Danio rerio: one gene and its partners. The protein of the gene in region 1 purifies or fractionates together with the protein of each later gene. This does not show direct contact. Links are inferred from orthologs where the notes say so. Each region holds a gene or a part of one and is shown in the gene's direction. Other genes may lie near its edges.

What was found.
Region 2: the proteins of kat2a (region 1) and zzz3 purify together in Homo sapiens (affinity purification with mass spectrometry; 5 studies listed by BioGRID and IntAct, with this or other methods). This does not show direct contact. The link is inferred for Danio rerio from reciprocal best matches to the Homo sapiens genes KAT2A and ZZZ3.
Region 3: the proteins of kat2a (region 1) and atxn7l3a purify together in Homo sapiens (affinity purification with mass spectrometry; 10 studies listed by BioGRID and IntAct, counting the BioPlex papers as one, with this or other methods). This does not show direct contact. The link is inferred for Danio rerio from reciprocal best matches to the Homo sapiens genes KAT2A and ATXN7L3.

What each region holds. Positions count from the first base shown.
Region 1 is NC_133178.1:16,337,930-16,341,586, forward strand, and holds part of kat2a (histone acetyltransferase KAT2A), read left to right. Parts: coding exon 1-84; intron 85-1,222; coding exon 1,223-1,414; intron 1,415-1,502; coding exon 1,503-1,609; intron 1,610-3,657. UniProt on the Homo sapiens protein: Protein lysine acyltransferase that can act as a acetyltransferase, glutaryltransferase, succinyltransferase or malonyltransferase, depending on the context.
Region 2 is NC_133177.1:9,148,081-9,152,231, forward strand, and holds the start of zzz3 (ZZ-type zinc finger-containing protein 3), read left to right. Parts: upstream 1-1,258; coding exon 1,259-2,658; intron 2,659-4,151.
Region 3 is NC_133178.1:18,805,860-18,808,986, reverse strand, and holds the end of atxn7l3a (ataxin-7-like protein 3), read left to right. Parts: intron 1-779; coding exon 780-916; intron 917-993; coding exon 994-1,214; 3' UTR 1,215-2,583; downstream 2,584-3,127. UniProt on the Homo sapiens protein: Component of the transcription regulatory histone acetylation (HAT) complex SAGA, a multiprotein complex that activates transcription by remodeling chromatin and mediating histone acetylation and deubiquitination.

The sequences.
Region 1 (3,657 bases):
CTACTGGAAGCTGGAGACACCGTCACAGTTTCGGCAGAGGGCTCAGAAAGAGGACGCAGCGGCATACAAAGTCGATTATACTAGGTGCTTGTGTTACTGTGTTCTATTCTAAATGCACGTTTGTAGGATGTGTAAATATAAACACACACACACACACGTAAGGTATAGAACAGAGTGTGATCTCATTTCCTCTATGTTGTATGTATTTACTATGTGAAAATGTTTAGGATTTATTTCATATGAAGTCATTTACTGTTATTACATTATCAAGTACATCTAATGTGTGACCAAAAAAGATGGTCAGTTTACTATTTTGAAATTAGGTTTGCAAATGTACAGTGGGTACGGAAAGTATTCAGACCCCCTTAAGTCACAGCAAACGGTCTTAATACTTAGGACAATGTGATATTATGTTTTCCTTTTTTGATAAATCTACAAAAATGTCAGTAATTCTGTGTTTTCTTGTCAATATGGAGTACTGTGTTTACATTAATGAGGGAAAATTTACTTAAATGATTTTAGCAAATGGCTGCAATATAACAAAGAGTGAAAAATTTAAGGCCGTCTGAATAATTTCCTTACCCATTGTACATCTATCACAACAAATGTCAAACTGAGTTTTCTTTTCCTTTTGCAAAAATTAATGTACACATTTTTAAAAAATAATCAATAATTTAGAACAGTTAAATTGTTTATATTGTTTTATAATGATTTACTCCCCAAACTTATTGCAGCTTCCGACCCAGAATATTATATTCTTTTGAAATATAAAAAAAATACAGAAATATCTATTTAATGCATAAAAATATGTTGTTTTGAAGTTTATTCATCAGAAAATCCCAAAAGAAAAGTTTGTTTCCACAGAAATATTAAGCTTTATTAATTACATAAAGCTTTAACATTTAATAACAGTGTTAGTTAAGCACAACATAAGCATATTGAAAGGAAATTTTATGTGGATCATGTTACACTGAAGGCAGCTGAAAATTTACAACATAGGAATAAGTTCAATTGTAAATAAAATATAGGGAATTAGAAAACAATTTCCATTTGTAATGCTTTTTCATAATATTTATGTATTTACCATCTGTGAGGATTAGAGACTTTCAAACACAATAAAATATCAAATTTGAGTCTATCTTAATCTGAATATACAGAGTCATTAATCTAATTACTGTTCATTTGTTTTATTACTATTATTTCTGTGTGTGTGTGTTTTCAGGTGGCTGTGTTACTGTCACGTTCCTCAGAGCAATGACAGCTTGCCACGGTATGAGACCTGTCAGGTGTTCGGCCGCAGTTTGCTGAAGTCCATCTTCACTGTCACCCGCAGACAGTTACTGGAGAAGTTCAGAGTGGAGAAAGACAAACTGCCGCCAGAGAAACGCACCCTCATCCTCACACATTTTCCAAAGTAAGACACGTTACCATGTTATCAATACAAACTTCAAAACTATCACTCTCTCATATCCTGAGTGTGTGTGTGTGTGTGTTTGTGTTAGGTTTCTTTCCATGTTGGAAGAGGAAATCTATGGAGAAAACTCTCCCATCTGGGAGGCAGACTTCACCATGCCAGCCTCAGAGGGCACACAACTGGGCCATCAAACAGGTGTGTGTTTTTATGGAGCCAGATCAGTTTCAAAAATAATACATTTACAAAATTAATTTAAAACTTGCACAGCACAATTCACATTCACAAAATCCAATTTGTAAATTCAAAGCACAATTCACAAATACTACTCATAAAGATAAATATAACTCGCATTCATAAAGATAAATATAACTCGCAAATCATAAATATTTTTTACAGGATGAATTGGATTTATCTGTTAATAAATCGTGTTTTAAATTTGAATACACAAATTGCATTTGTGTATTTTTGAATCGTATTCGAATTACGAATTAGATTAGTGAATTTACGAATCATGCTTTGAACTTATGAACTGGTTTTTGTGTAATTACAAATCATGCTTTGAACTTATGAACTGGATTTGTGTGTTTACAAATCGTGTTTTGAACTTACGATATGGATTTGTGTATTTTTGAATCGTCCTTTGAACTTATGAACTGGATTTGTGTATTTACGAATCGTGTTTTGAACTTACGATATGGATTTGTGTATTTTTGAATCGTGCTTTGAACTTACAAATTGGATTTGTGTATTTTGCAAATCGTGCTTTGAACTTATGAGTTGGATTTGCGTATTTATTAATCGTTTCAAATGTATGAACAGGATTTGGGTGTATACGAATTGTTTTGTATTTTGAATCGGATTTATGTATTTAGAACAAAAAATTTGTGTTTTGATCTTGCGAATTAGATTTTATAAATGTGACTTTTGTTGTGGAAGTATGAATAATATTTTGTAAATATATTATTTTTGAAATTTGATCTGGCTCTATAGTTTTTGGTGGTTCCAGGGTAAAAGTATTGTAATCGATTGTAATTATCGGCAGTATTTTTTGAGACTTTTTTCAACATTCATGCCAAAGTGATTTTTCACTGGCAATGAAATGAGTGAATGTGCAAAATTACTCTTGACGTTACACACCACAAAAAAAAAAAAAAAACTCCAGTAAACATAGTGTCGCTGCACAATGACGCTCGCTTATTACACAGAAGAAGATAGCACCCTCATGCTTTTAACTGGTCTTTATTGCACAGGGTTTTCCACTTCTGTTTTCCCCCCTTCACTACAACACAAATACCTGTTTAAAAAAGTTACAAGCTAAGAAAGAAAATGAAGTGGAATGAAACTCACTATTGAATCCTTCTTGATAATTCCTGTGTGCTCTTCTACACCTTTTTTTACTTGAGTGCTACCAAGTCAGGTTTTTACTGTAACTACAGCAGCTCAGGACATGGAACAAAAGTGCCAATATCATTCAGGGCTCGAAATTGCGACCATTTTGGTCGCATATGCGCCCGAAAATTAATCTATGCGACCTCATAATATATATGGGAGCATTAGTGCGACTGCAGATAATGGTTGTAGTGCGACCTGTTTTGATTTTTTGTAAAAACGTGCTGAATCGCTCTTCCCTGCCGCTATATTGGTTCATATTAGCTGTCAATCACTCAAGGTATTCCGCTGTCAGATGACATGGAAGGAGCTTTTATGACCACAGGAAATGCAAACGGCTGAAGAGTGAAAACTTAACTTAAAGCACACAGGTTTGCAAACCCCACCTAAAGTTGAGGCGCAGATGAGAGCGATCATGACACGTCACGTGGTGAGTAATGATCCACCAGCTGAGATCAATCGAGTACGCGCTTCTTAGAGAAGGCGCCCGAATCTCCATGCTTTGCATTCACTGCGTGTTCAGCGCAAATGTCCGCTAAAAGTCAAATCTAATACTGTACATATCATCGCCAAAGAAGCTCGCCTTTACTAAGTACAAAACAGCAGTACAAAATAAATATTTCTTACTGCAATGCTTCATTTTTGTTTAATGCAAACTATACAATTATTTTTCATAAAGTAACAGACTTTTTATAGCAGATAATTCATGCACATTCAAGGCAGTATCATAATGAGAAATGGAATTCATTGTTACTATTGTCATTTTTTATCATCATTAATATTCTATGGCCTAATTATTAGACATTCATTTTGGAATTATTGCACACAAATATCAATGTCTTTGCAGCATTAGT
Region 2 (4,151 bases), on another chromosome or scaffold:
AAATCAGAACTACAATCTTTAGAAAGTGCTCAAACATGTTGCTCCTTAACGTGATGCGCACACCATGTGTACGTCACTCCCATGTGCACCTCCTTTGGAAATGACAAACTGACTCTAAGCTTATTGGCATTGCTTCCAAGGTGCGCGCTCGGCAGACACATTTTAATAAAACTATAGCGCTTCATACCGAAACTACATACCAAACTTTTTTTGTTACTGATATCGACAATGGTGTTCAGTTAATAAATACAGTTAAATCTTTCTCCTAACCATCTCAGGTCACGTATTTTTTATTTATATTTTTTTCATACAAGTTAAAGAAATCATAACTACTGCGCTTCTACCACCTCAGTTTCCCAGAACTTCTGGAGCTTGTTTAGTCATAAAAGCCTGTGATCTCGATTTTTATCGCCCAGCCCTATGCTTCACCCCTGAGCCTGACATCATTATTAGACAATTCAACACCCAAGTAGACCCATATTCCTATGCTTTGCTCAGTCCAGGGTGCAGAGCCCTTGAATGGGGACTTAAATGTTACCATGACAAAGCAAAGCAGCAACCACAGAAATGTTTTATTGTTTATTTTCCGAGCGATTAAATTGAAGTTTTATAATTATGTTTTCAAAATATGCTGTCAATTTCAATCTCTTCCAGTACTAAACACAATTCTTACCTATGAAGTACTAAGAGAAAGTGTTGGTGGTATTTCACAAATGTAATTGAGTATTTAAGGAATTTAATTGAGTGTACTAGAGGTTATAGGAGGAATGTGTTTTCTGCAGTCTGTTTATATATCAATAATAATACAATTGGTTACAGTGAAGTAAGCATTAGTCTTTAATCAAGAACATGATCTTTCAACTGTTAGTTCTGCAGCTTTATCGTACGTTTTTGTTTTTTAATTTTTAAAAGTTAAAACTTTTCTGTGTGTAAATGTAACTTCTTATGAACTTGTTTTACATGAATCCACTACATTTCAGAATATACTAACCTCTGTTTAAACTTGTGAACATTTCAGTGCTGTGCAGCAACTTTGATTTAACCTGAGCACATTTGCATGCATTCTCAAATATGTATGTTCTTCAGGAACAGCAACCGATTACATCTTTTCTGTCTATTTTTTGTTATACACTTAAACCTGTGTAATTTAGAATCTGAACGGTCTGTAATTAGTCTCTCATTGTGTCACTCAGGTGCCCACATACTGCTGCTGAGGAGAGAGCACCACGATGAGGAGACAGTAGGCACCCACCATAGTATGGCCGCGTCCCGCTCTTCGCGCGTCACAAGATCATCAGTGGGGATAAATGGATTGGATGAGAACTTTTGTGGCCGAACCCTCAGGAACCGCAGCATCGCCCAGCCGGAAGAGAGCTCTCCGCCTCCCGTGCCCAGAGCTCGCTCACCCAAAAAGAAGCAGGACTGTCAGCAGCACCAGCAGACCGGAGCACAGGTTGGAAAGGTAACTGAGAGCAAAGCGGAGGGCGAACCCGTGCCTGCATGTGGAAAACGTGGCTTGCCGAGCTCCGAGAAGGAAGATTCGGACAAATTTGATAACTGTGAGCGTCAAAGGTCTGGGTGTGGGCCTGAAGCCTCACCTGCCCTGAAGAGGGCCAAACGCTGTCCTCGCTCAGGTGAATCACAGGGGGCAGAGGAAGAGCCTTCTCTCAAACCCGAGAGCCCCGATCCTGCTGTATTGAAGGAAAATGACGATGGCGCCAAATCAAATAATACTTCAGCCTCAGACAAAGAGGCTGATCAGAAAAAGGATGGCCCAACAGAAGAGATCGCCCCTCAACCAGAGGTCAGCGAGAACGTCAAAGCAACCAATGGCCTCGCTGAACTCTATAGAGAGGACTCAGAAGTTGCGGCCTTACCTGTGGAGCCCTGTGCCTCCCCTGCCACACTCAACAGCAGTCCCTCACTGTTAAATGGCAGCCAGGCTGCGCCCTCATCCCCCGACCCTATTGTGCCTTGTAGATCCCCTCATCCCAAGCAAACCAATGAGCCCGACAGCCCTAAAATTGACTGTGAGAGGAACTGCACACCTGAGGAAGCCGCTGAGGCTGTGCTGTCTCAGGAACCCGAGATGGAGGTAGAGGTCGATGTTGTGGGAGAGGCTGGCCAGGCTCAGGATGAATTCGTGAGAGAGGAGAGCACCAATGGTGACTTTCAGGCTGAACCACAGGACCCTTCTGACAACTGCTCGAATATCTCAGGAGAAACGCTGTTGGCTGCTTCTCAGCTGCCCGCCGAGCCCCCCTCCTTCACAGAGCCTCAAGAACACCGCTACACCCTGAGGACTTCACCGCGCCGCGCTGCCTTTGGTAGCGGGCTCAAAGCCAGCTCCCCCAAACCCACTTCCCCACACATAGACAATGGTTCACTGAAGGAAGAGACCACAATGGTTCCTTTTTTCTCAGAGGACACCAGCCATAAAGACCCTTCCCATGATGCACTGGGACTTTCTTGCGAGGCAGACAGTGAACTTTTCGAGGAAGAGGTTGTCAGCGGAGAGGTCGGAGTGTCTGATAGTAGAGAGTCAAGATCCACCAAAGAGCTGCTGGCTGCTCAGGCTGAGGAAGATGAGGAGGAGGAAGAGGACCCAGATGTCTACTATTTTGAGTCGGATCACTTGGCTCTCAAACACAACAAAGAGTATGTTTAGGTTTACGTTCTTTCATTTGAATCTTTTTCATAATTGCGGTGATTCAAGATTATTGATTAGAAATTTGCTTTTGGCTACCCCAAACCCAGCATTTAAACCCAACAACCCAACTTTGAATACAACGGACATGAATCATGTAGCTTTATGAGAAGTCTTAAGTCGACTGTCAGCCAGAAATACTGTAGGTTAAGAAGTATGTTTTGGTTGACTTTTATGTCTGTCACCAGTTTGAACCTGTTAAAAAAAATCTACAAATTAAAAATCTTTGATCCATATTCAGATTTTCAGATCAGCTACATTTCTATTAAAATTATTGGACTTTGTTGGTGATCTGAAAATCTGACTGCAACTGTAGTTTGGACAGACCAGAGCAATGTTTAAAAACCTATAGTATCGTTCATCTGTTGCTTTAAGGAACCTCATAATGGCGCGTTTTCACTAAGCCGGACGGTACGGTACGGGTCTGTACGAGTCACCTTTATCAGGGTTGCGTTTCCATTGCCAAAAGGGTACCAATGGTACTCTTTTGGTGGGCATGGTATTCAACAGAAAGTTTCAGTCAACGTCCTTCTAGCTTGAGGAAATGTCAAAGTAAAGCTGTGCAATCAGTGCAAACCTCTCATCTGTATCTTTAATCTTCACCTGCGGTTAAAAAAGCTATTCATAAGTTTATAATAGTTCAAAAGGCGACAATAGTAGTTAAACATTGTCGTTTGTTCATGGTTTAGGTTGCTGAAAGAATCATTTGCTCATTTGTTTTTTTGTTTTTCTGGCTTCTTTTTTGTTTTTTCGCACTATACTCTCGCGTTGGTCTGTTTCTGAAAGGATTGGATGTCTGAAGCACTTTATTAATCATGCGCACGTTATTATAATCAGCTCAAAAAGTTTGTTATTTCAAATATAGAAGCATGACGAACGCACACAAGACAGCAAAACTGCTCGCCCTTTAAATAACTACTGGCCACAGGGTAGATTCTGCTCTTTTTGGCTTTGTGGCTGTTCATCAAGACAACGACAAGGTTGTTTGAGCTCAGGTCAACCATGGTTCGTTATTATATGTATATATTATTATGGTCTAGTGCAGGGGTCACCAATCTTTGTTCTGGAGGGCCAGTGTCCCTGCAGGGTTTAGCTCCAACTTGCCCTAATCCACCTGCCTGAGTGTTTTAAGTATACCTAGTATTGTACATATGTATTTGATTAGGGTTGGAGCTAAAATCTGCAGTACACAGACCCTTCAGGAACAAGTTTGGTGACCCCTGGTGTAATGTCTCAGCTGTGTATTTAAAAAAGGTGATTCCTTTGTTTTTATTCTCCTGCTTTTGCGTGTAACGTATCTCTGTAAACCAGTAGCGTTTAGTTGCACGTCTTGCTCCGCCCTTTGGTACCCTTTTGTTGTGCTAGGTACCCTTTGCAAAGGGTACCCAAAAGTGGTACGGTTTGCTTTTTAGGTACCTTTTGACAGTGGAAACGGCCTTAAAAG
Region 3 (3,127 bases), about 2.5 Mb from region 1:
GGAGGCCGGACTGAAAGTGGACCATGCTTTATAATGTCTATGGTATTGCCAGTCTCCGTTCAGGATGTTTACGTACGTGAATGTGTGAAGTCTCAAGCAATGTATCAAAATTCCACTGATTTCCTGATAAATGTTGCATTCTGGGATAATCCAGCGCAGCTCTTTGATAATAAGCTGATCTCTCCTTCCTCAATGCAGTATTGGATGAACACAATATGCAGCCTATTCCTCTTGCTTTTTCTACTTTGGAGAAGACAGGAGAAGGTATCACTGCTTAAACTTACTCCGAAACGTTTTGCGTTTTTTCATAATGGATTAATGAATACGCGTCAGACTGGATATGCAAAAACGCATGCAAAAATGTCAGACTTCAGTGTGCAAAAGACCTTTAGGCTAGTATAAAAAGCTTCTTGTTAATTTGTTAGCTATAAAATAAGACCCTGTCTGTGTTTAAATGACCTCCTCATGCTTTGTGTTATGTCATGAGGAAGCTTGATTCCACCTCTCCTTTTCATCAACTCTGCATGTTTCCATAATCCGCACACTGATGTTGTGGTCTAGTTTCTATTTAAGAAAGCAGCTGTGAGTCAGATTTGAAAGATGTTAATTTCTCAAATTAAAGCGTTTCAACTCATAACATAATTGCTGACAAGAAACCAGGTCAGATCACTGGAAAATGTAGTTTAGGTGTCATACTCCATCTGTCGACTTTTTCCTTGAACTGAGGTGCCAATTCAGCGTTTTTGACGAGAGAGTCATTTCCTGTTTCTGTTTACCAGGTCAACACTACCAGACGCTGACACCATGCTGGAAAACGAGGCCTATGAACCCCCTGATGGCCAGCTCATCATGTCCCGTCTCCATTGGGACGCTTCCTCTGACATCTCCCCATCAGACTCGGCATCTTCAAAAGCCAGTGAGTTTCCTGAAGACTTTTTTTTTTTGTCAAGACGCCACATGTATCTGCTTGTCATGACATGATCTCGTTCTCAGGCACCAATAACTCTGAATCCAAGAGACCGAAGAAGAAGAAGCCCAGCACGCTTTCTCTGACTCCCGCAGGAGAGAGGGATAAAGCACAGGAGCGAGACAGAATAGCAGGCAGCGGGAGCAGCGGTAGCAGCTCCCAGAATGCTCTGGGTCTCTCAAGTCGGAAAAAGCGACCAAAACTTGCAGTTCCTCCAGCACCCAGCATCTATGATGACCTGAACTAAGGCACATGCATCCCACACACACACCCACACCCAATCATGACTGACTTGATGAGGTTTTATCTGGTCTTTAGTTTCCCCCATTTCAGTGCACGTGAACGTGACGTGTGTGTAAAGACTGGGCCCCTTTTCAGACTTCTGCAGGCATGAAGAGATCATTTGTTACAGCACAGTGTTGCACAGTGAGTGATTTAACTGAATATATATATATATATATATTGTGTGAATGGAACTAGCTTTATTTTGATTTTACTATGCAGTTCACTGTCATCTCTTAGGAGATTTGGGTTTACAGTGATGTGTGTGTGAGAGTTGGACAGTTTGTATGTGAATGGGTTGTTGCAAGTATTTTGTCCCTGGTGGCTCATGTAATTCAGTCAGGTGCTTAGTGGTTTTTAAAGGACGTCTCTGCTTCATGTTGTCTTGCTAATCTTTCTGCAACCTGATAGGCTCGGCTATGCTCTTTTAATGCCAAACAATATACTCTCTTTTGCTCTCCCTTAAAGGGACAGTTCACCCCAAAATGAAAATTCTGCAATCATTTACTCACCCTTGTTTAAAGCCTTTTTGAGTTTACACAAGAAGATATTTTGGAAAATGAGAGTATGGAAATCAGTGTTTTCCAGCATTCTTCACAATTTTTGTGTGTGTGTGTTTAAAAGCACATGAGCGTGAGTGAATAATGTGAATTTTCAATTGTGGCTGATCTGTCTCTTTAATGAACTTGGTTAGCGCTACCAGCAGCTTTCTGCCAAATCTGTGCGCACACAATCTTCTGCCTTGTGTGTTTTGGAGTTTGCTGTTCTTGTTTGCTGTCATGGTTAATATATTTTGCCTGTATTTATTTGATCTGCTGTGTGAATGTTGTTTTGTTTTAAATCATGATATGTGTATGCATTTCCTCGCATTATGGACTTAAAATGAGTTTGTTGATCTTCAAAGCACTTACTATTTAACGTTAGATGGTTTTGTATTAAATATAGTTTGTTAAAGTCTAATCAGAAATGCGTATAGCAATTGAAAATGCACTTAAGATGGATCAAATCCAGCCCCTATGGACGCCTTGTCTTTTTTAAAGTGAAAATGTTGTCATTGTTTGATCGTTAGTGAATTTTAGAGTTTGAAATGACTTGAGCTTTTGTGTTTGTTGTGAATGGACAGAATTGGTACAATTCACACTGTCCTTGCTGTGAGTGGATGTTTCGTCTGTGACGCCGAGTTCTTGCTGTCTCTCAATGCACTGTAGTGTCTTTGTAATGGTTGAAGTAAATATTCATTTTGAAGTAATTCACCATTTAATTTCTGAAGTCTGAGGAATGAAAGAGTCATTTGTTTGCTCACATTAAAATATGCTCAACAAGTGTCTTTCAAATATGAGCTATTTTATTCTCAAGCAAAAACAAAGCATTAAAGAGGTGCTAGTTGTCTGTTAAAGCAAACAGAATAGGTAGTTTCCCCTAAAACCATATTCAATTTCTGACAATATTGAGCAAAAAAAAGTGCAACCCATTCAAACAAGAACCAAAGTATCCAATGCTTTGTGGTTCCCACACACGTCTTGATTTATCTACAGTAAATACATTGCATATATACAGATTTTTACACAGGACACCAAATGTGTGGCTGTTATCGCTGTCATGTATTAATGCCTATCAACACAGTGAGTTTTCCCTATAGTCTACTCCAGTCCTGATACTGTTTGAGGGTTGCATGTAAAATCTTTATCAAGTATAAAACTCTTATAACTAGAAGCGGATGTGCTGAACCAGTGCCATGTAAAAGACAAAGGAAATAAATAGATTTCAATGTAACTGGCAAAAGAGAGAGGGAGAGGGGGGAAAAGGACAACTCAATAGTGACTAAGCAGTACATCACATATGGGTGTTTACAGTATGCTTTAACCGCATTATCGTCCT